Linked DNA regions of Danio rerio. The protein of the gene in region 4 purifies or fractionates together with the protein of the main gene of each other region. This does not show direct contact. Links are inferred from orthologs where the notes say so. Each region holds a gene or a part of one and is shown on either strand. Other genes may lie near its edges.

Evidence for each region.
Region 1: the proteins of marchf5 (region 4) and mfn2 purify together in Homo sapiens (affinity purification with mass spectrometry; 5 studies listed by BioGRID and IntAct, counting the BioPlex papers as one, with this or other methods). This does not show direct contact. The link is inferred for Danio rerio from reciprocal best matches to the Homo sapiens genes MARCHF5 and MFN2.
Region 2: the proteins of marchf5 (region 4) and dnm1l purify together in Homo sapiens (affinity purification with western blotting, with the first as the bait; 3 studies listed by BioGRID). This does not show direct contact. The link is inferred for Danio rerio from reciprocal best matches to the Homo sapiens genes MARCHF5 and DNM1L.
Region 3: the proteins of marchf5 (region 4) and mfn1b purify together in Homo sapiens (affinity purification with western blotting; 4 studies listed by BioGRID, with this or other methods). This does not show direct contact. The link is inferred for Danio rerio from reciprocal best matches to the Homo sapiens genes MARCHF5 and MFN1.

What each region holds. Positions count from the first base shown.
Region 1 is NC_133183.1:57,628,265-57,634,574, reverse strand, and holds the start of mfn2 (mitofusin-2), read right to left. Parts: upstream 4,020-6,310; 5' UTR 3,982-4,019; exon of another isoform or gene 2,694-3,981; intron 1-2,693. UniProt on the Homo sapiens protein: Mitochondrial outer membrane GTPase that mediates mitochondrial clustering and fusion. Mitochondria are highly dynamic organelles, and their morphology is determined by the equilibrium between mitochondrial fusion and fission events.
Region 2 is NC_133200.1:21,484,871-21,490,677, forward strand, and holds part of dnm1l (dynamin-1-like protein), read right to left. Parts: intron 5,783-5,807; coding exon 5,627-5,782; intron 5,045-5,626; coding exon 4,955-5,044; intron 4,855-4,954; coding exon 4,762-4,854; intron 4,677-4,761; coding exon 4,623-4,676; intron 4,427-4,622; coding exon of another isoform or gene 4,355-4,426; intron 1,888-4,354; coding exon 1,729-1,887; intron 1-1,728. UniProt on the Homo sapiens protein: Functions in mitochondrial and peroxisomal division.
Region 3 is NC_133186.1:46,709,685-46,715,491, reverse strand, and holds part of mfn1b (mitofusin-1b), read left to right. Parts: intron 1-1,565; coding exon 1,566-1,728; intron 1,729-1,948; coding exon 1,949-2,073; intron 2,074-2,300; coding exon 2,301-2,409; intron 2,410-4,986; coding exon 4,987-5,094; intron 5,095-5,807. UniProt on the Homo sapiens protein: Mitochondrial outer membrane GTPase that mediates mitochondrial clustering and fusion. Membrane clustering requires GTPase activity. It may involve a major rearrangement of the coiled coil domains.
Region 4 is NC_133188.1:45,976,733-45,983,150, reverse strand, and holds the start of marchf5 (E3 ubiquitin-protein ligase MARCHF5), read left to right. Parts: upstream 1-2,412; 5' UTR 2,413-2,708; coding exon 2,709-2,752; exon of another isoform or gene 2,753-2,997; intron 2,998-6,418. UniProt on the Homo sapiens protein: Mitochondrial E3 ubiquitin-protein ligase that plays a crucial role in the control of mitochondrial morphology by acting as a positive regulator of mitochondrial fission and as an important regulator of immune response.

The DNA.
Region 1 (6,310 bases), on a different chromosome or scaffold from region 4:
ACTAGGAAGGTTATAGATCTGAAATTTCATGGCAACTACCCATATATTACATGTGGAAAGTGAAAGTGCAAATTTTCAGGAACTATAATATAATTTTAGGAATTATAAATCATTTGTATTTATTTGTTAACCTACACAAGTAGTGACAGATAAATCATAGGAAAATCACCAAGGCTTACAAAAAACAATACTTTATTGCTGTCATTTAACAAAATGCATCAAATTATAGTAATATTACAGAGTAAAAACGTCAAATACTGTAAACAGTGGTTAGGGTAAGGAAAAGTTCAGTTGTCGCACATGGATTTCAAAATAAAAGTCTGATATAAGCTCACATAATAAGTCTCACATAATAAGTTATAAAATAAAATTTTGTTGTTTTTTTGACGACACACTCCGCGACCCACTGAAAATGTTCCCGCGACCCACTTTTGGGTCACGACCCACCAGTTGAGAAACATTGCTATAGTGTACACACACTAACCTTCTCACACAATGTCTAATCATTTAAACAAATCCAAATGATTAAAGGGATAGTTCACCACAATAAAAACATTCACATTTTTACACTTATGGTTTTAAACCTGTATTAGGTAATAAAAAAAATAAATTATATTTTGAAGCTTGACTGTCGTAGTACGCTTTAAAAAACAAATATTTTTGCTGCTTGTTCTAACTCATTTTAGATTATCTGACATAACACTATTCTTGAGGGATTTTGGGGACAACTTAATTGTGTTATGTCCAATCAACTTAAAACTGCAAAAAATCAAGTTAAATTAACCGATTTTTGTTGGGAGGACATTAGGATTGTGTGTAACCAAGCATTTTTACAATATAAGAAAAACGAATACTATACATGTCAATGGTTACAGGTTTTCAGCTTTTTTTTTAACTTAAAATATCTTCTGTTTTCAAAAGAAGAAACTTAAACGTGTTTGGAACTAGTGGAGATTGACCAAGTTAACATTAAATGATGACTATTGTCATTTAGTGAGATAAAGTTGGTTTTATATTCTCAAATTTATACTTTCTCCTTAATATTATAATTTCAAAAAAATATTATTTGCAAAATTCTAAATAGTGAATCATATTAGCAGCCAATAAATGTCAAAATATAACTGTTCACTGTCAAATAAATAGTGCTAATGTTGTTTTCAAGTTATACTTGCATGTAATTTCAGACTGAATATTCAAAGTACCATGGCAAACAACATAGGGAGCATAATTGACTATGCGAAATCACTAATTTAATATGCGAAATATTAAAAAAAAAAAAACTTTACCTCAATCACTTAAAAATTTATATTTTGCTGCTTGTTTTAACTAATTTAAATTATCTGACATAACACTATTCTTGAGGATTTTTTGGGACAACTTAATTGTGTAATGTCCAATCAACTTAAAATTGTAAAAACCTTCAAGTTAAATTAACCAATTTGTGTTGGGAGGACATGATGATTGTGTGTAACTCAGCATTTTTACAATGTAGGAAAAATGACTACTATAGAAGTCAATGGTTACAGGTTTTCAGCTTTTTTATTTAAAATATCTTCTGTTATCAAAAGAAGAAACTCAAACCTGTTTGGAACTAGTGAAGATTGACAAGGCAAGAAAGGTCCCGACTTCTGCCAGAAAAGGCAAACATGTTGATTTTTCTCCAGTTTAAAAACTGACAGTCATTTTCCTTCAATCTATTGTACATTCTTTTACAGGATTTTTATCTATTTATTTGTTTTACAATTATTGGTTTCATTTTATTTTACAATAAAAACGTAATAATAATATATAGGGTTTTAATTATGTTCAATTTGATTTTGTACAAAAAAAAAACACAACAAAATATACCGATAAGAGAACCGTTAAAGTATCGAACCTATAAGTGGTATCGATTAAAGTAGTACTATCGTTAAAACCTTAACAATACCCATCCCTAGTCACGTATAAAATTTAATAGAAATTGTATTTTTCCCACTTGTTGAGCGTTGTCCTTATAAAAGACTTCAATATGGGAGAAAATGCTTAACGTGATGTTTTTCACTTTATCTTTGAATTAGGACTTTATTTTTTTTTATTTTTTTTTTTTTTTTTACAGTAGTTGGGGTTAATTACAAGTATACAGGTAAAGTTGGTTTTAAATTCACACATTTGTTCATTTAGCAGTCTCTATATTGTTTAATATGTTACTTTGAATTTTCGATCCGAATTAGCATGCAAGTATGACTTGTAAACAACATTAACACTAATTTACTGTAAACAATTTTGTACTTTAATAGTCATTTGCTGCTCATATGATTTCCCTATTTAGAATTGGCAAACAATACTTTCCTGAAATTATATTATTAAGGAGAAAGTCTGAATATCCTAATATAAAACCAAATTTACCTCTAAATTACAGGTAACGTTTGACAGAAATTTGGGTTTCTCTGGTTGATGTTTAGGTACATTGAGCCACGTTAAGCTTTTTTCACATTAAGTGTTTCAGAATGTCCTACTAGGTTAACATTAAATGATGACAGTTTTCATTTTGGGTGAACTATTCCTTTTAATTTTCTAACATCTTGCTGCTAATTAACAGAGATATCATTAGCTATTAAAACGTTCCAAGAAAAAAAACATGTATTTTAGCAGGCAACAACCGATCAATTAAGATTAAACACGTACTTTAATGATAATAAAATAGCAAGTCTTACCTGGCAGTGTGTGTAACAGCTTATATAAATAGAGAAGATCGAATAAGCTGGATCAGCTTCCCAGCATTTGATCTAGAGGTGTCCGGTCACTTAAGATGTAAACTCAATGTAGAGAGTTTACAATGTTTTATGAACATTTTATAATCCATAACCCACACTAACATCACAGTCACGACTTCCACGAGGCGACACCAACCCACTTCTTCTCCAGACAGAAACTAACGCGTTAAACAACTTAAACGACGTTAAATGTGAATATAATGTCTTTATTCTAGCTTTAATGATTTTAAACACTCTAGTATCCGAGTCATAGCTCCGACAGGACTTTTTCTCGAGCTCAATGTCACAGACACAAGCGGCAACCCTCGACTGCCCCAAACCCACTGCAATCCTCCACTACACTAGACCGGGCGGCGTGACCACGTGATTGATCCACCAAGCTGGAATGCGTACAACGTAACAGATAAATTATGTATATTTAAACAATGCGTACCGTGTAATCGCATTAGTATATCATATTTAAGATTTCATTTTTTATATATATCTATACCAGTAATTTTTATCTCTCTGAATGAGACAAATTGCATCATTCTTAATAATCCCGCCCCAAAGACAATTCAGCCAGTCATATTCGAGCAATTCCGAATACGCAGTTAGATTGACGTGAGACTAGCGATTCTGATTGGTTTAGAAAAAAGAAGGCGGACCCACTTGACAATTTAGCTGTCAAGAGCAAATGTTTATTATTTATTCCTCAATATTCATGCATTTAAAAAGTAATGATATATAATCTATATATCTTTACAACCTCGAAACGCTGCAATCAGATGAAACATTCACATAATCATACCTTTCACTTATGTAACGTTGAGTGTCTTTTCTAACATTAACGTTACCAGCACGAAATTAAAGGACATTTTTAAACTACAAACCTGACGTGCACAGCAACATCTTCACATATAAGTCAATACAGTTGATTTTATAAGCAAATATGTTTACCAGTAGGAACGTAGGATGTATTATATCTTATGACAATCCTCAAGCATGTTGATCCAGCGATGTCATCGCAACATATATTAATGAAATCCTCCTCTGGAAGAGCTTTCCAGATCACAGCTTTTGTTAAAGCATTTACAGGATAAGCGAAACCGAAACAAGACCCGCAACAACGCCTAACCCTAACGAACTGCTCATAAGCGTTTGACCATCAAAAGTGGGTGTGAAAGCAGTGCTTCCATTATCTTCACGTAAGAAGCATAATTTGTGAATAAATGTGATGAGTATTTACCTTTACGTTCAGTATAAATATCCGTACTTAGCAAGGTATTCCATATCTAACGTTACATAAGAGCGGAGTGATTATTTGGTCGCCATTATCTTAGCATTAGCTTCCAACGGCGGGTAGATGTATTACGTCATGTACATGCGACGTTTGTTGTTGTTGTTTTTTGCTCCACGCGAGGGCGCTCAGTATTCATTCGTTCATTTTCTTTTCGTTTTTTTTTTTCGCTTAGTCCCTTTTTTATCAAGGGTCACCACAGTGGAATGAACCGCCAACTTATCCAGCACGTTTTTACGCAGTGGATGCCCCTCCAGTCGCAACCCATTTCTGGGAAACATCCACACACACTCATTCACACACACACTCATACACTACGGACAATTTAGCCTAGTAGCCGGGGAAAACCCATGCGAACGCAGGAAGAACATGCAAACTCGACAAAGAAACGCCACTGCGTCGCTCCGGGCGCTCAGTAGTTCATAACAAAACATCTTGAAGGATGAGTTTCCAGATGCTTTTCTGGGATTTTTACAGCCCTCAGATTTTTGTCGACATTCTTTACATGCATGTTGCAGTAAGGAAAAACAAACATGGAACTGCGTTCAAAAGTCAAAAAAAGGTAACGGTTTTCCCAAATTTAATTATGTATGTCCTTATACTTATCATTGTTTATATGAACACATATACAACATTATAGCTAATATATTCTAACATATATTTAAAATTCGAATGATTGAAAATGATTAAAAGCGGCCATTTTTGCAATATTTCATAATATATGTGGCATTTATGACATATTTTAAATATGTGAAATCCAAAGATGAACGTGTATGTTTAATCACTTCCTTTCGGCTTAGTCCCTTTGTTCATCAGGGGTCACCACAGTGGAATAAACCGCTAACTTGTCCAGCATGTGTTTTACACAGCGAATGCCCTTCCAGCTGCAACCCAGTACTAGGAAACACTCATTCACACACACCCTCATTCCCACACACACACACACACACACACACACACACACTACGGCCAATTTAGTTTATTATTTCCTTAATTTCTCTTTGGCTTAGTCCCTTTATTTATCAAGTTTCACCACAGTGGAATGAACCGGCAACTTATCTAGCACGTTTTACACAGCGAATGTTCTTTCTAGCTGCAACACAGTTCTGGGAAACACCCATACACACTCATTTACACACACACATACACTACGGCCAGTTTAGTTTATTAATTAATTCATTTATTTCCCTTTGGCTTAGTCCCTTTATTTATCAGGGGTGGCCACAACGGAATGAACCGCCAACTTATCCAGCATACACCGCGGATGTTCTTCCAGCTGCATCCCAGTTCTGGGAAATACACACACACACACACACACTACGGCCAGTTTAGTTTATTAATTAATTGATTAATTTCCCTTCGGCTTAGTCCCTTATTTATCAGGGGTTGCCACAGCGGAATGAACCGCCAACTTATCTAGCATATGTTTTACACAGCGGATGCCCTTCCGTACTGGAAAACACACACACACACACAGTACGAACAGTTTAGTTTATTAATTAATTTCCCTTCAGGTTAGTCCCTTTATTTATCAGGGGTCGCCACAGCGGAATGAACTTATCCAGCATTTGTTTTACACAGCGGATGCCCTCCCAGCTGCAACCGGGCACTGGGAAACACCCATACACTCTCGCATTCACATTTATACACTACGGCCAGTTTAGCTTATTCAATTCACCTATATTTAGCGCATGTCTTTAGGCTGTGGAGGAAAATCGGAGCACCCGGAGGAAACCCACGAGAACATGGGGAGAACATGCACACAGAAATGCCAACTGACCCATCCAGAACTAAAATCAGTGACCTTCTTGCAGTGCTAACCACTAAGCCACCGTGTCGCCCCTGAACATGTATGTCACACATGTAATTTGCCTTTATTGCCAAATATCACATTTCTATCAGGTCCAACAATCTTTTTTTCTTTTCAGTTTTATTGTGTTTTCCTCCATAAATTGTGACATGATGATGAATCCATTAAGATGAATCTCAAAACAAGCAACATCAAGCAGTTAGAAAACAAACCACACACTGTTTTCAAACGTCAGCACCGATTGCTTGAGTGGCATCAAAAAAAAAAAAACCTCAAACTTGTGAATGTCAAAGCAAAGACAGTTACAACGTAGAAGTCATCTGTATGGGGAAAAAAAATCCCTTCGATACATGACAATAAATAAATGAGTAAAACGGCATTGCATAGCGATCTGTCAAAATGCTTTCAACATTCATCAGTCAGAAAAAATTATCAAAAAAAACAAACATGGGAAATATATACACACTG
Region 2 (5,807 bases), on a different chromosome or scaffold from region 4:
AAAATGAACGAATGAGTGATACTGATTGGTACTGAAATTAAAAAATTGTCCGTTTCCCACAAACATTTAAGCGCTGTGGAGCACGTTCTTAAACATCGCTGATTTGCCATTGTGTTCACGTGCTCAACAGGTTCACTGAATTAACCGTTATTCACGAAGTGTAACCACAGATACAGAGACACTGGAGTCATGTTGTTCAGATGGTTTATCTATAAGCGATCCGCTAATGAATCACGGCTTTAAAACGCTTCAGTGTCCCTGTATCTGTGGTTACACTCAGTAAACAACAGTGAGTTTGTGGAAACGATGACCTTCAAGGTCAATCCGTCTTTTCTGTTGAACATGTGAACACAATAGCAAATCAGCGCTGTTTAAGTACGTGCTCCATAGTGCTTAAATATTCGTGGGAATTGGACGTTTCAGTAGTGGAAAATTTCAGTACCGACTGGTTTCGAATTCCAGTATCGTGACAACCCTATTGTGCATATTCAACATGATGACAAATCTTACAATTAAATCTGCCTCTTAAGGACACACCAAACCGAGGCCAAACAACTAGTGGCAAAACAAGCCAACTGTGTTGTCGTTTTGTGTCGGCTCACCTCTGGTTCAAAAAGCTGCCTATGTACACACTAAATGGATGGCAACCAAGTAAACGAGAGTGCATGTTCTTGCACCTTTGGGAGAGGATGTCTAATAATCGTTTGCAAATCTTTGAGAAATGTAGCAAAATTACAGCCGACCACTTTGTGTTCTTTCTGGACTTGAATTGTTTACTTGCTACATCACATCAGTTTTTGATCTAGTACTCTGATTCATAATGGATTAACCAATCAGAGTGCTCTCTGTTACATATATAAATTCTAGATGCTGTATCTGGCCAATTCGATCCGACAGTAACTACGAGAGGCAACCTATGGAACACACTAAACCAACTAGCCAGATTGATGTAAAATGATGGCCTGACAAACCCAATGGCCGACCGTCAGCTTGGTGTGCCCGTCTCTTAAAACACCAAGCCAGAAAAACAGCAATGACAAAACAAAATCCTCTGGATTAAGAAGTTTTTCCATTTTGGACCACTGTAAAAATACAATGTCGCAACAACTTTCATGCAAAAGTACTCATGTAAGTGTCAATGTAAATGAACTGTAAATATAGAGGAATTATTAGCCCGCCTGTAATTTTCATCATCTAGTTTTCTGTTTAACAGAAAGAACATATTTCTAAACATAATAGTTTTAATAAATAATTTCTAATAGCTGATTCTTTCATCTTTGCCATGATGACAATACATAATATTTGACTAGATATTTTTCAAGATACTAGTATTCAGCTTAAAGAGACATTTAAAGTCTTAACTAGGTTAGTTAGGCAGGTTAGGGTAATTAGGCAAGTCATTGTGTGACAGTGGTTTGTTCTCTAGACAGTCAAAAAGTATTGCTTAAGGGGGCTAATAGTATTAAAAACTGTTTTAATCTAGCCGAATAATAAGACTTTCTCCAGAAGAAAACATTATAGGAAATACTGTGAAAATTTCCTTGCTCAGTTAAACATCATTTGGAAAATATTTGAAAAGGACAACAAAAATTCACAGGAGGGCTAATAATATTGACTTCAACTGTATGTAGATAGAAAGCTGTGTTACCAGAAACACTTGTAAGTGCTCAGACTACAGTAGAAAAAAAACATAATTGTTTATCATGGATGTCACCCATCCTTACTCACCACATCGAGAAGGTTCACCGCGTGCCCCTTCTGAGGGCTGGCTGGAATAGAGCTTTGTAGTTTGGTCTTTTCCTCACCCTGGCCTTCATCTCCCTTCTTCAACATACCTCTCCAGGTCCCTGTTCCTCCTTCCTGCTCCGCTTGAGCTCCTCCAGCCATCTGATACACACAAACAAGAACAAGACACTACTGTACAGTGCCCACTAGTGTTTTACAGTATATACCACGCCATGCAGTCCATTGGTGTTTTATGCATTCATGTTAGATGTGAAATATATCGAACAGCCAAATAAATGATCTAAGTTCATGTAATCAATGGTTTTTCATTATCAAAAGTGTAAAGACAGAATAAACCGAGAGCGCATGGAGGATACATTTACGCTAGTGTGTTTTTGTTGTTAATTGAACTTTTAGCATACTTTCAAGTTTTTCAATCCTCAAATGTAGAGACATTTGGAAATGCTGAAGAGCTTGTTTTCATTTGCATTTCAGTGAAAGAATGGATTCAAAACACTGGTTCTTATGTTTATAGTCAAACATATTGTGCACTCTGTCATTTTAAATTTGCTTGTGAAAGGGCAGGACTTGCAAAGTTTCGAGAAAAGTGTCATATTTTGGCAACAGAACTACTGAAATTTGAAACGGGTTTGCAGAGTACTAAGAATACAACCGACTATGCTGTTAACGGTCACATTTTGTAAAAGAGTTCTTTAAGTTAATGTGTTTACAAACATGAACAATTAATGTTCATTTCAACAATTATTCATTTTCTTTTCCGCTTAGTCCCATATTAATCAGGGGTCGCCACAGTGGAATGAATGGCCAACCTATCCAGCTTTTGTTTTACGCAGCAGATGCTCTTTAAGCTGCAACCCATCACTGGGAAAGACCCATACATTCTTGCATTCACAGTTGCAAACAGTTATTCATGATGTAGTGTTTTTATACAGTCTGTGAAAAAGTGTTTGCCCCGTTATTGATTCCTTATTTTTATCTCGGCATAATGTCTATTTTTTGAGGATCATGGGGTCTACTTCATTTTGTCAGAAAGGTCCTGTTTGAATGTTTCTAGATTGCAAACAGGTGTAGTAGTAATTAGGTCTGAATATAGCTTGAGAAATTGAATTTGGGTGTGATAAATTTACGTTTCCAGAGTTTTAATGGGGTGCCAAATTCTTTTGCACACTATTAATACACTATTTTGTATTTTGTTTGCCCTTATTAACACAAACTTAATTTCAAAACTGCATGTGTTTACTTGTGTTATATTTATATATATAAATTTTATATAATATATATATATATATATTAATATATATATAATATTAATATATATACATAAATATTATATATATAAATTATATAAATTATATACACACACACACACACACATATATATGTATACATATATATGTATACACACACACACACACACACACACACGGCAAGGCAGTAGCGCAGTAGATAGTGCTGTCGCCAAACAGCAAGAAGGTCACTGGTTCAAACCTCGGCTCAGTTGGCGTTTCTGTGTGGAGTTTGCATGTTCTCCCTGCTTTCCCGTGTGTTTCCTCCGGGTGCTCCGGCTTCCCCCACAGTCCAAAGACATGAGGTACAGGTGAATTGGGTAGGCTAAATTGTCCGTAGTGTATGAGTGTGTGGATGTTTCCCAGAGATGGGTTGCGGCTGGAAGGGCATCCGCTACGTTAAAAACTTGCTGGATAAGTTGGCGGTTCACTCTGCTGTGGCGACCCCGGATTAATAAAAGGACTAAGCCAAAAAGAAAATGAATTAATAAAACACATACACACACACACACACACACACACACACACACACACACACACAAACACACACACACACACACACACACACACACACACACACACACACACACACACACACACACACACACACACACACACACACACACACACACACACACACACACACACACACACACACACACACACACACACACACACACACACACACACATACATATATATAATTGAAGTCAGAATTATTAGTCCCCGTCTATTTTTTCCCCTGCTTCTGCTTAATGGAGAGAGGTTTTTTTTTCAACACATTTTTAAACATAATAGTTTTAATAACTCATTTCTAATAACTGATTTATTTTATCTTTGCCAAGATAACAGTAAATAATATTTTACTTTATATTTTTCAAGACTCTTCTACAGTTTAAAGTGACATTTAAAGGCTTAACTAGGTTAATTAGGCAGGTTAGTAAATAGTAAAAAAAAATCGTTTGGTTGCAGGCATGGTCGCCAAATTCTTAGAAATGACACCAATACAATAGAGGTCACATACTTACAGTGTGTTAAAGTATCCGGACGCATTAGTTCACACATAAAACACCAATTCGGGCCACAAACTGAAAAGACACAACTGCAAAATTACACTTGCAGTTGCAGAGGGTCTTCAAGTAAACTCAGCAAACACACAACAGAGGTTTGAGAAAGTCCTGATCAGTAAAACCAAAACTGCCCAGCAAAAGCATCATCTGCTGTCAGTTTAGTGGTTTGCGATCATGCAGTTGGGGATTATAAGAGTTTGATTAAAAAATCAACTCCATGCTTTGCCCCTCCACACAGGGGGCGAAACACACCTTAGGGCCATCGCCCTCAGCAGACGGTTGATCAGTGGGTGACATTGACTGCCCACCAGGACCTTTTAAAGACTACAGAGAGACACAGGAAGACAAGAAACTAGTCACCTAAAGAGGAAAGCAGCAGGTTTTAGACTAACTCTGAGAAAAAAGTAAAGGAAAAAGAAGCAAGGTTTTTTTTTTAACTAAAAAACTAAATAGCAGAGGTGGGCAGTCACATTTTTCCTGTAAGAAAACACAATACTTAATATTAACCTAAATTTCATACCTTATCACGAGGCACAGAAGTAGGAAGCTCTCTCATTCGGTTACGTCTCTGCTCCTGTTATGAAAATAATTTTTACAATGAAAATATTTTTCATTTGGTATTTTTTAGCCAAAACATCATCATGAAAATGTCTGTAAACCTCAATGTTGTTGTTCATGAGTCCACAAGCATCAGCAAAGTCTGGGTGTTTGGTGTTGATATAAGCCAACTCGATTGCCACAAGATTGTGAACCTGGAACAGAGTGCAAATGCGGCTTTGGAGAAGAAATATATGCACTTAAGCTGCACAATAATGCCTCAAATAATAAAGAGAACATGAGAAAGACACAAACCATCTCATTGGTGACTGGGAGCCTCTTCCGGAGCAGAGATGTGACCACTTCTACTATGGCATCGTGGAGCTTTGGAAACCTAAGCAACTCCTGAACAAAAATTAAAGAGAAAATTATTTAAATATAGCTTTATGATCTTAGCATAGCTTAAAAAACCTTAAACAAATTATATTTCTTGATGTAAACATCTTGTGTAAGCCCACACAGAATCCTCCGATTTTTTGCCCATCATCGAGCATTTATTTACTTGTGTAAATTTATATTTATTCAGTTTTTAAATTAATTTCATAAAATGTTCATAAGATTTATTTACAATAAAGTTTGTAAAGTAATATATTACTTATAAGTAATATACAAGTCTTTTAGTAGACATATTATATGGGACTTGCTTTGTTTACCAAATAAATGGATCTAATTGGATTTGCATTGTTAATATGAAATAAAACGTTAAAAAGGTGCTTTTTTTCACGCTTTTAGTTATGATACCCCCCAAATCATTACTGCATAAATCTGCATATTTTTTACTAAATTATCAGCAGAAATAGCAAAAAATGTCAGCAGATTCTGTTTGGCCTGTGCTACATAACAAGCTGTAAAAGAATAGCAGTGAAAAACAAATTCTGTGAGGGAAAAATAGAACATTGAAGCGCTCATCCAATGTGTGCAGTGTACCTGAGTGCTGTAGTTGCTGCAGTGCTGAATGATCCTCTGCATCTCCTCGTGCACCAGCTCCACACAGCGCAGACTGGGCTCCTCCAGACGCTTCACCTGCCTCTTCACCAGCAGCTCGAACGACACCTCAGGCACGAATAGAGCAGGACGCGGACCCTGAACAAACACAACACCTACATTA
Region 3 (5,807 bases), on a different chromosome or scaffold from region 4:
TAGTTCATTGAGATGGGACGTCATTATCGCAGAATGATTATCTCAACTATCATTGACTGATTAAATTAAATTCGGATTTACACTGATTTTTGCATAGCTTCTGAGTGTACAACACCTTTTTTTCTGCTCTTTTAATGGTGCCTGGGTCATTTTCTATATAAGTATGTTGATTGGAAATATACATAATATTATGTAGAATGTAAGATTACAATGACCATCAGGACATTTTTTTAAACAATTAGCAAAAGACATTTTTGGATTCATACTTTTATTGACATTGTGTATATGGAAATGTCCACTCCTCGCATCCACGATGCAAGAGAGGACACCATCTGACTTTGGGCGCAAACTTTGGACAGACTTAAAGATTTACTAACTTGAATATATGAGACATCAAAAAGCATGAACTTCTAGTTCTTTTTTTCCCTCATTTATTATTTATTATCAATTTGTTTTATCATTATATTATTTATTTATCTTTATTTAATTTATTTTTATTTTCCTTTTTTTTTTTTTTTATCTCTTTTTATGGTAATGTAAGGTTTCCTGTTTGGGCTTCTAATAACTTTCATTGTCGTAGACCTTTTTCAACACAGTTTTAAATACCTCTATGTTTAAAAATCTGTGTGTTTGTATGCGTGTATATCTGTGTGTGTGTGTGAGTGACTGTGTGTGTGTGTGTGTGTGTGTGTGTGTTTGTTTGTTTGTATGTGTATATGTGTATGTTTATATATATATGTGTGTGTGTGTGTGTGTGTGTGTGTGTATATATATATATATATATATATATATATATATATATATATATAAATATGTATGTATATATATATATATGTATGTATATGTATTAATTTATTTTATTTGTCATTTTTATTTGCGTTAGTATGTCCTTGTCATTATTCTTCAGTTTTTCCTTTTTACTGACAATATTGTTGTCATGGCTGACACTATTATGGATACTATTATTTAACAACTTGTAGATTGGGTTATATATATGTATATCTACACATTTTGTTATATGCTGATTGTCTACGGCATGTTTTTCTGTGTTCAAAAAATACAAAATAAAAAAAATATTTGATGGAAAAAAAAAAACAATTAGCAAAAGACAAATAATAATAACAATATAAAATACAATAAACAACCCCCCACACATCCATACATTGTATAGTTGTCACAAAATGTTTCTCATAATGATATTACATAAAGATCACAATGGTTGAGGGTGATAATAAATAAAAACAATAATGTAATTTTTTATGTCAACAATAATTATATTTAAAAAATATGATAAAACATTGACTTTAAATAATAACAAAAAATAAGACAAAATAACAACTACAAAAACCCATACAAAAACAATAACAATAACAATAATTAAATGAAATAATCAATTATTAAAGTCTAACAGAGGTAATGTGTCAATAAAAGGGGCCCTAAATACAGTCAAGGTTTGTGAGCTTTTGTCTGACCGAATATAATATGGTGCCCTGGTCATTTGTAACCTATAAGTCAACATGAGAGTTAATAAATGTTATAATTATCCTCTGTTCGCTGTTTTCTAGAACAAGCAATGGTAAAAGCACCGTCATCAACGCTATGCTGCGTGACCGTGTGCTGCCCAGCGGCATCGGACACACGACTAACTGCTTTCTGAGTGTGGAGGGAACAGATGAGGACAAGGCCTTTCTGAAGACTGAAGGCTCCGAGGAGGAGAAAAGCATCAAGGTACGAGAGACGTTTATTACTTTCTAAACACTAGGCATGGGACGATAACCGGATTCAAGGATTACCGTGTTGTGGAGAAGGCATGGTTTTAAAACTGAAAACTTTATTATTATTATTATTTTTTACGTGTTAACAAATTTGAAAACTGCAATAAAAACCTAAATGAAACATGTTGTTTAACATTTGTAAAGATCATGTCAGATGTGTTTTTCCTCCACAGACAGTAAATCAGCTGGCTCACGCTCTGCATATGGACGAGAGTCTGGACGCCGGCTGTCTGGTCAAAGTTTTCTGGCCCAAAACGAAGTGTGCTCTGCTCAGAGACGACCTGGTTCTGGTGGACAGGTACATTTCAGTGCTCTCAAAATGCTGCTAATATGAGATAATATTAGGTATCATAGTGAATGTTGATACTTGAATCACAGTCAAAATGGTTTGCTCTCATGTTAAATTTTAATTCTGTTAACAATAAGTGCTGCTTAAAGTAGATTTTTTTCCAAGCAGTTTTAAACCTAATATTTTCCTAATAACTAATTTTCTAATAACTAAAATATATTGAACTTCTCTTTCAGTCCTGGAACTGACGTGACCACAGAGCTGGACAGCTGGATTGATAAGTTCTGTCTGGACGCTGATGTGTTTGTGTTGGTGGCGAACTCTGAATCCACACTAATGAACACGGTGAGCTGTGCACTGGATTATGCTGATCCGAGTGTGTGCTAGTGCTGCACCACACTGGAGAAAAGTACAGTATTGTTCTTGGGTTTTGCCATAACAATAGTTCTTGCAATATAATATTTACTGTTATACTATAGATTTATAGTTAACGCTAACTCTATCAAGCCTCTTCAGCTGCTTCAGAACGCAGCAGCACGAGTGGTCTTTAATGAACCTTAAAGAGCACATGTCACTCCGCTGCTCATCCGTTTGCACTGGCTGCCAGTTGCTGCTCACATCAAATTGAAAGCTCTGATGTTTGCTTACAAAGCGACTTCGGGCTTTGCTCCTTCTTATCTGCTCTCACTTCTGCAGATCTATGTGCCCTCCAGAAACTTGTGTTCTGTGAATGAACGTCGCCTCGTGGTTCCATCCCAAAGAGGGAAGAAATCACTTTCCCGAACTCTCGCATTCAATCTGCCCAGTTGGTGGAATGAACTCCTGAACTGCATCAGAACAGCAGAGTCACTCGCTGTCTTCAAGAAACGACTAAAAACTCAACTATTTAGTCTCCACTTCTCTTCCTAATCTGCAATTCCCTCTCTGACTCCTCCACTAACTTAAAAAAAAATAAAAATTACTAACATTTTGCTTCTTACACTTTCTTTACACACCTAAAACTTGCCTACAGCACTTATTCATTGTTGCTCTTATAGTTGTGTAAATTGCTTCCTTGTCCTCATTTGTGAGTCGCTTTGGATAAAAGCGTCTGCTAAATGACTAAATGTAATGTTACTATACTATAGAACATAGGTCTCAAACTGGATTCCTGGAGGGCCGCAGCTCTGCACAGTTTTGCTCCAACCCTGATCAAACACAGCTGATCCAAATAATGAAGGTGTCCATGACTCTTTGAACGCCTCGAATATTAGGATCAGCTTTGTTTGATAGGGTTGGATCCTAACTGTGCAGAGCTGCGGCCCTCCAGGAATTCAGTTTGAGACCTGTACGCTATAAAATATTATAACACAATATACTATAGAATATTATAACATCATAGCACATTATATGTGTAAATATAAGTATAAACGTTTGCATATGTTTGAAAATTGGTAATATTTAAATACTAGGACAGCATTGAAGTGCTAGAAATGTTTGTAAATGCACCTGGAGAGTGCTTGAAAAGAAATTTGACTTTGGAAAAGGTGTCAGAATCCTGTAATAATTAACTATGTGGAAACGGTCAAGCACTGTCACCTAAAGTCATACATGAATTGGAAAATATCATTTATACTGAAGCTTTTTACGAAAGTCCCCCGAGAGAGGCCCTGAGAGAGGCACTGAAGCATCCTGGGATAGCATGCATGCCTCAGTGGGTAAAGCAGAGTTCAGTGTGTGCGTGTGTGTGCGTGTGCGTGTGTGTGTGTGCGTGTGCGTGTGTGTGTGTGTGTGTGTGTGTGTGTGTGTGTGTGTGTGTGTGTGTGTGTGTGTGTGTGTGTGTGTGTGTGTGTGTGGATAACGCAGCTCTGCATTCCTCTGACCGGCATGCAACCAAACACTGAGCAAACCCTCCCGCTGCTACACATACCCATATTAGCACACACACACATGCACACACTTCATGCCATGTGACATCATTACTCAATATGCAATATGACGATGTTGAAGTCAGTATTTTTTGTTAAACATAATTTAATTTTTGTTCTTTACAAAAGAGTTCCTAAGTGCTGTTTAAAGGGCTGGTCCACTACAATACCATATGTTAAACTTTAGTTGATGTGTAATGTAGCTGTGTGAACATAAACAAAATCTTTGAATGTAGACAGTAAAAGTTCAATGCAAAGGACATCATTGTTTTTACATAATTAATATTATTTGATTTATTTAACGTGATGCTTGCCTGATTTAGCACATTCCTTTAGTCCTGTCTTTATTTCTTCATGCTCAGTACTGATTTAATGCTCTAGTTCAATGGTTCTCAAAGTGGGGGTCGGGACCCCCCGAGGGGTCGCGGGACAATGAAGGGGGGTCGCCTGGTGGTTTCCAAAAATCTATTTATATTTTTTAAACCATAAGAATTACCATATTTTATCCATAACCTTCTGAAAAGAAAAAAATAGTCGTTTATACTATATATAGTTACTATAGTAGCTTATAGTTACTACTTCTATTGGATTGCAACCCCTGGGGTAATTGCATTGTATTAAAGACACAGCAATAGCGTCAGATGCAGCAGATTTCATAACACCTGGTTAAACTTTATTGCCCATTTACAGCTCTCATACATAAAAAAAATTAAAAGAAGAATAGACTTGGGTCCATTGGTGTGTGTGTGTGTGCCATTGCATGCAAGGTTTCTGTATTTATAACCACCTCAGAGGATATTGGGGGTCACGAGTCACTGGCATTGTCATTTTGGGGGTCGCGGCCTGAAAAGTTTGGGAACCCCTGCTCTAGTTTATTACTCCTGAACAGCTGATCAGATAAGACTGAATACCTGTGTGTTGTATTTACACTGACTGTGTGTGTGTGTGTTCAGTAGAGTGTTTCCACTACACAACCTTTAGTGACCCTCAACCTCATTATTATTTCTCTTTAAAGGAGAAGCATTTCTTCCACAAGGTCAATGAAAAACTTTCCAAGCCCAACATCTTCATCTTGAACAATCGCTGGGACGCTTCTGCTGCCGAACCCGAATACATGGAGGACGTGAGTTTATTTAAATTACTATGGATGTTGTAGATTTAAAGGGGAGCTTTTATGCAGAAAGCACTTTTATGGCTCGTTTCCACTGACTGGTACGGTACGGTTACGGTAGTTCCACTACCAAGGGTATTTTGGTGGGCGTGGTGTATGACAAAGTTTCAGTCAACGTCATTTTCACTCGAGGAAATGTCGACAATAAAGCTGTACAAGTCACTCACATATCATATGAAAAGCACTTCTCACAAAACAGACGCTTTACACACATAAATACTTGTGTATAAAGGTTTATTACTAACATTTCTATGAACATGAGTTGATTATAACTGCAGATCAATAACAGTGCAAAATAGCCTACTGTAACGTCTGTAATTATATTAAATAAATGAACCTATATGAACACATACAGACCCTTACAGTCCCCGATATGTTACCAACTACAGAAGAACTACACACAGCAGACATTTCGTCCTTTATTGGGTTCCAAACAACACAAAGTATAGCCTACAGTCAGAGTAAACCTCTCATCTGTGTCTGTAATCTTCAGCAGCACATGTAGCCTCTGTTAGAGAGTCATTCCATCATTCCCAGTTCATAATAGTCCAAAAGGTGATGATAATAATTAAAACAAGGCAGTTTGTTCACGTTTGCTGAAGAAATAACGTGCTACTTGGCTTCCCCTTTTTTTCCGCGCTCCACTTTCGCGTTTGTCCTTTTCT
Region 4 (6,418 bases):
GAGCTGCCCTTCTGCAGTCGCCTCAACAGCTGATTGACTGCGGCGCATGGCTGATGCACCGAGGGATTGTGGGAATTGTAGTTTTTCGGGCGGAACAGCCGTCAAATTCACTGTGACATGTTGTGAAGCTTATGATTGGCAGGCAAAATTGGGGATTTGTTGTGAAGCTTATAATGGAATAATATGCAAATCACGGTAGTGTTTTAGGTTTCATTTCAAATGCATAGTGGTCCCAGTGCTTCTAAATGTATAATTTTAAGTCATAATAAAAAAAAAAAAAAAAAACAAATAAAATGCTTTTATGCGTTTTGGCTAAAATCTAAATTTTAACTCGATTACGATTAATGAACAATTATTATTTTATTTATTTTTTGACCTCATAGTTCACTGACAGGTTTTGTACAGTAAATATGCTCACATATTACAGGTGAGGGATTTTTTTAATGAAAGTTACATTACTTGACTTTATAATAATTGAAAGAAACACACACTATGTACTATCAATGATTGTTTATTGCGCATCAACATTGAACAAAGTAAACTAAAACACCCATTGCCTAAAATGAGCAGTCACTTTTTAAATAACTTGCACTTTTGGAAAAAATAAATTATTTTCAATGTTTTTCATAATAAAAGTAGAAGGTATAAAGGCTATAGTGTATTATTGTATGCGACCGCATGAAGGCTGCGTCTGACCATATGAGTGCGCTCGATGCAGCAGTATAAATCAGCCAGAGCGGGGTCACATGACTCCACGCGTGATAGGGAAAGTAAGCGAAAAAATTTGACCTGGAAAATTAGATCGATTATAGGTTCTAAATGTCGATTTCGATTACTTTTCTATTCATTTTATACATTAATCAGATTTTTTTTAGATTTCTTTGAGTACATCTTAATAGCATGTAATATGGTTAATTGTGCAGTGATGTTTTGCATGATGTTATGCTGAAACTACCCAAGAACATTTCAATTTTATAACACAATATTTACGCTTTTATTGAACTTTTGAATGTTGAAATTTGTTTATTGAATATCAAATCAAAGATCAAAATAAACACAATAAAAAAGATTGGATTGCAGCTGTTGTTTACATCAAACAACAGCTGAAATCAGATCTTTTTTGTGTTTATTTTGATATTTGATTATCAAAATAAACACAGTAGGTGATTTTGATTATGAAAATAAACAAAACAATCTAACGGCAATTTGTAACTTTTTGATTTAGTGACTAAATCGTATGAAGTAGTACGATCTAATTCGTACATTTTTTGTACGATTTGCTCATCCCCCAATGACAATTGGGTTTAGGGGTGGGGTTAGGTGCCACGCCTCCTTTTTGAAAACGTACAATTTTGTACGAACGAACTAGTTCGTACGAATTAGCCACAAAACCGACAAAACGAAAAATACATGTTCTCGTGAGATCAGGCTGAAATAAACACAGTAAAGTGGCCGAATGCAATGTTAGCATTACGTTAATGTTCACTGCAGCCTGGCGATTGCATCTCTATTTTTAAATATAATACTATAGTACATTTTTTACTCGATAACTAGTACGTGGATTCATGTAAATATATATGGCAGAAGAAGGAGGGTTTGTAATGCAGCAGAATTTTTCCATTTTATAACCCAAACTTACTTGAGTATGTTTAATCTGGTTATTAAATATCAATTCAAATATCAAAATAAACACAATTAAAAGCATACAAAGCCAACATTAATTTAATAGAGATTTATTTTAAAAATGCAATGATCTCTCTCAGATATCTCTGCATTAAATACTAAACGAACACTCATTAATACTAATACAGAGATTATTTATTATGTATTATTGTTTTTTAATCACAAGTAACCAACTGGGTTTTTCTTATTGTATTTAAAGCTATTCACATGGGTCAAATGTGAGGTGTACATTCCTTATAGAGAACAGTGCAGTAAATATGCTACAGTGAATTTACAGAAATATAGCCTAGCTAAAGAGGCATATTAATGCTTGACATCAAAACACTATATGTTATATACAATGTGTATACACTGTATATTTATATAGCATATCAAAACACATCAGCAATAAACAAACACTATAATTCCAAAGGTATGTGCTATATGAAATGAATCAAGCCCTCACTAATCACATGTATTATTATTACTGAATCCCTTTCAGTAAGCAGTTAAATAAAACATGCATTCCAGTCATTTTTAAGTTGTGCTGAAATATGTTCACTCTCCTTACCACAGTACGAGGTATTCTGAAGCCAAATATGTATCTTCATGTTGCTCCAGCAGGCGTAGTCTCTCTTGCTCTGGGCTGCCTGCCTCTGCGAGAACATAAATTTTTATATTTTTGGCTACATGGAATAAAGACTACACGTCCCAGAATGCACTTGCGGTCTCGCGATTCCGAAGTTAACGCTCGCACAAGCGCGGTGCCGCGTCCGCTCGCGTTTTCTCACGCGCAGTCAATGGAGTCACTGCGTGTTTCTGGAAATACTGGCATTTATGAATATTCATTAACAGATCGGTTTATATTAATTGATCTCAATGGTCTATGATCGGATTTCAGCTGTCGTTTGATGTCAGTAAGGTAGCCATATGCGTTGTTAGCATCGCGTTAGCGTTCACTGCGGCCTGACGGTTGAATCTCTATTATTAAGATAATACTAAAGTATTTTTTTTACTCGATAACTAGTGCGTGGACTCATGTAAATATGGCAGAAGAAGGAGCGGTTGTAATGCAGCAGATCGTGGACAGGTAAGTGAAAGAAACAAATGTAAACAAACGGCTAATGCCAGCTATGTCGACCTGTCAAAGCTTCATATAGAGGTATTAACATTCGTAATCGCATATATAAGTAATCCTAACGAATAATAAGAGTGTCTAAGGAGAGATTGTTTGCAGGTTTAACGTTAGAGCGATTCTGCTTTTGCAAAGAGATGCTAATTGTGTTACTTGCATGATGTGACGTCTTTGGCGAGGGGGCGTGACCTTGAGTTGGCATTTTAATTTTGTTTTGATTTAGATTTGCTCCTTTGTTTATATATTTTAAATCCTTATGGTCATCCATAACCTCATATGTATATCAGCCCTGTACTAAATGTATTTTTAAAACACTAATAGCATACTGTTTTTGTGTCAAGTTTGTATTTTAAATTTTGCATAAACTAATAGTAAATAACAGTAATTTTTGACTATGTCTACATATTAGATTATAATGCTGCGTTTCCTTTGCATAAATGAAATTTATGGGTCTATATTATACAGACAGTACCTTAAATGTTTATATGGCTTAAGTGTATTTGCCATTTTGTGTGTGTGTGTGTATATATATATATATATATATATATATATATATATATATATATATATATATATATATATATATATTAGTATATGAGCTATGAAGTAGATTAAATTCAATTTTTAAACTTCTGGTTATGTAAATTCAAATTGGCAGAATTCTTGCTTAAGTACACTCGCCGGCCACTTTATTAGGTTGTCCTGTCCAACTGCTTGTTAACGCATATTTTTAATCAACGAAACACATGGCAGCAACTGATGCAAATGCAATCAGGCATGTAGACATGGTCAAGAAGATCTGCTGCAGTTCAAACCGAGCATCAGAATGGGAAAGAATGGTGATTTGAGTGACTTTGAACGTGTCATGGTTGTTGGTGCCAGACGGGCTGGTCTGAGTATTTCAGAAACTGCTGATCTACTGGGATTTTCACGCACAACCATCTCTAGGGTTTACAGAGAATTGTCTGCAAAAGAGAAAATATCCAGTAAGCGGCAAGTCTGTGGGCACAAATGCCTTGTTGATGCCAGAGGTCAGAGGAGAATGGCGAGACTGGTTCCAGCTGATAGAATGACAACAGTAACTCAATTAACCACTCGTTACAAAACAATCAGTTATGAAGAAGAGCATCTCTAAACACAAAACGCATCCAACCTTGAGGCGAATGGGCTACAGCAGCAGATGATCTCACTGGGTGCCACTCCTGTCAGCTAAGAACAGGAAAATGAAGCTACCGTTTGCACAGACTCACTAAAAATGGACAATAGAAGATTGGAAAAGCGTTGCTTGGTCTGATGAGACTCGATTTCTGCTGGGACGTTTGGATGGTTTGGTCAGAATTAATTGGCATCAACAATATGAAAGCATGGATCCATCCTGTCTTGTATCAACAGTTCAGGCTAGTGTTGGTGGTGTAATGGTGTGGGGGATATTTTCGTGGCACACTTTGTGCCCATTAATACCAAGTGAGCATCGTGTCAACGCCACAGCCTACCTGAGTATTGTTACTGACCATGTCCATCCCTCCACAGTGTACACATCTTCTGATGGCTACTTCCAGCAGGATAACGTGCCATGTCATAAAGCGCAGATCATCTCAGACTGGTTTCCTGAATGTGACAATGCGTTCACTGTACTCAAATGGCCTCCACAGTCACCAGATCTCAATCTAATAGAGCTATTTTGGGATGTGGTGGAACAGGAAATTCGCATCCTGAATGTACAGTCAACAAATCTGTAGCAACTGCGTGATGCTGTCATGTCAATATGGACCAAAATCTCGGAGGAATATTTCCATTACCTTGTTGAGTCAATGCCACGAAGGATTAAAAAGGCAAAAGGAGGTCCAACCCGATACTAGTAAGGTGTACCTAATAAAGTGGCCGGTGAGTGAATGTTGTATGATAATGTTGACTTTAGAATATGCTCATCATTACATTACCGGTTTACTTTGCTCTTCAAAGTGTTCAGTGAGTTGATTCATGTGTTAATCAACACTACAGCACAGCTTACCTTGTTCTGACCTCAGAATATTCCTTTAATAGTAAAACAGCTTAAGTCATAAGAGGCTTGATTGCCTGTTTGATCTGACTCGCACACCTGCTCAGGTCAGTAGATGCTTTCGGGACGGTTCAGGGTAAAAAAAGCTCTTGCCGTGAGTATCTGGAGATTTTCTTTTAATGAACCCATAAAGAGGACAGCGTGCCCTGGAGAAGTTTATAGTGACACTGTTGTTGTGCATTGACCCTCAGGGGTCATAAATAAACAGTACATCGCCTCTTCCCTGTAATTGCAGATTTTCTAAATATAGGAGCATTTGTTGGGTAAATGACGTGGACAAAATCTGACTTCAGTAATTATTCATTGGGTCAAGCTGTTTGGTGTTCTGACCTTGTCTATGTTTTTTTCCACTGAGACTGTGCTGTTTGCCACATAGGGCCAGGCAGTGCTTGCAAAATAAGCGAGATTACTGCACTGGCCTGCTGATGAGGCACAGTCCAGCAGACCTGTCAACGGCAGTCTTAAGGCCAATTCACACTGTACCGACAGAAACCGACAAACGTGAACAATCATCAGATAAACGCATGTCATTTCTCAGACATTCTCTACACACTGACAAGCAACGATTCAGCAAGTTAAGCCAACGGAAAAAGCCTGGCGTGCTACTTTTATTTGTTAGCGGAAAGATGCTAGGAGCTTTGATGTGTTGGTAAAGGCCTAAAATAATAGTTTTATGCAGCATGCAACAACTAGACCAAACGTGACCGTAAATACATTTGATTTGATTTATTTTATTTTTAAAAATCATACACTTTAAACAATTCTTTAAACAAAATACATTTCATCATGATTGAAATAAAGCGGGATGAAGCGCAAGCTTATAATTTCCTCACCCCATTACCACATCTTTCCACATCATTCGTCTATTACTTCAACTGATTTCTTACATTTTTACATATAACATTATATTAGATACTTTTAATGTTGTTTTTGGTATTCACTATATTCGCTTTTTCACTCAGAGTTGACTTCTTTTCAACTCCGAGCGCACGGTGTGCAACAGCAAAAATGCGAGGCGCAGCAGGCGGTTAAAACGCGAGGCGCACAGGGCACATAAGCAGTGCGCAAAACGCTCACGGCCGTTAGAAAACCATTCAAAAAAGGTGCCTCTCAACGCATAAAGCGTGTTAGGTGTGATCGGCCCCTCAGTACGACCATTTCTCCTTTGGCCAAACTTATGTTTAAACACAGTGGATTTCTATTGTAAACAAATACGGTTCTCTTGACATTTTTTTGTATTCATTAAAAAATTTTATTAAAATGGAATTTCATAATTCATTTTGAGCATGTTCATTTAGGCCCAATCCCAATTCTATTTTTGTACTCCTACCCCTTCCCCTTGGCCCTTAAGCCTGGTTTATACTTATGCGTCAAGTGACCGGCGTGACCCACGGCACATGCAACGCCCGTATGTGTGTCTCTGTTGGTCTGCATTAACACTTCCGAAACACTAGTTGGCAGTGAGGTGTTAATGTTTCTCTGTGTCGAGTTTCTTCACTACTGTTTTGCTTTTCCTGAACACTTCCGGGATGTACAAGTGGCTCAAACTCGCTCATTTAGAG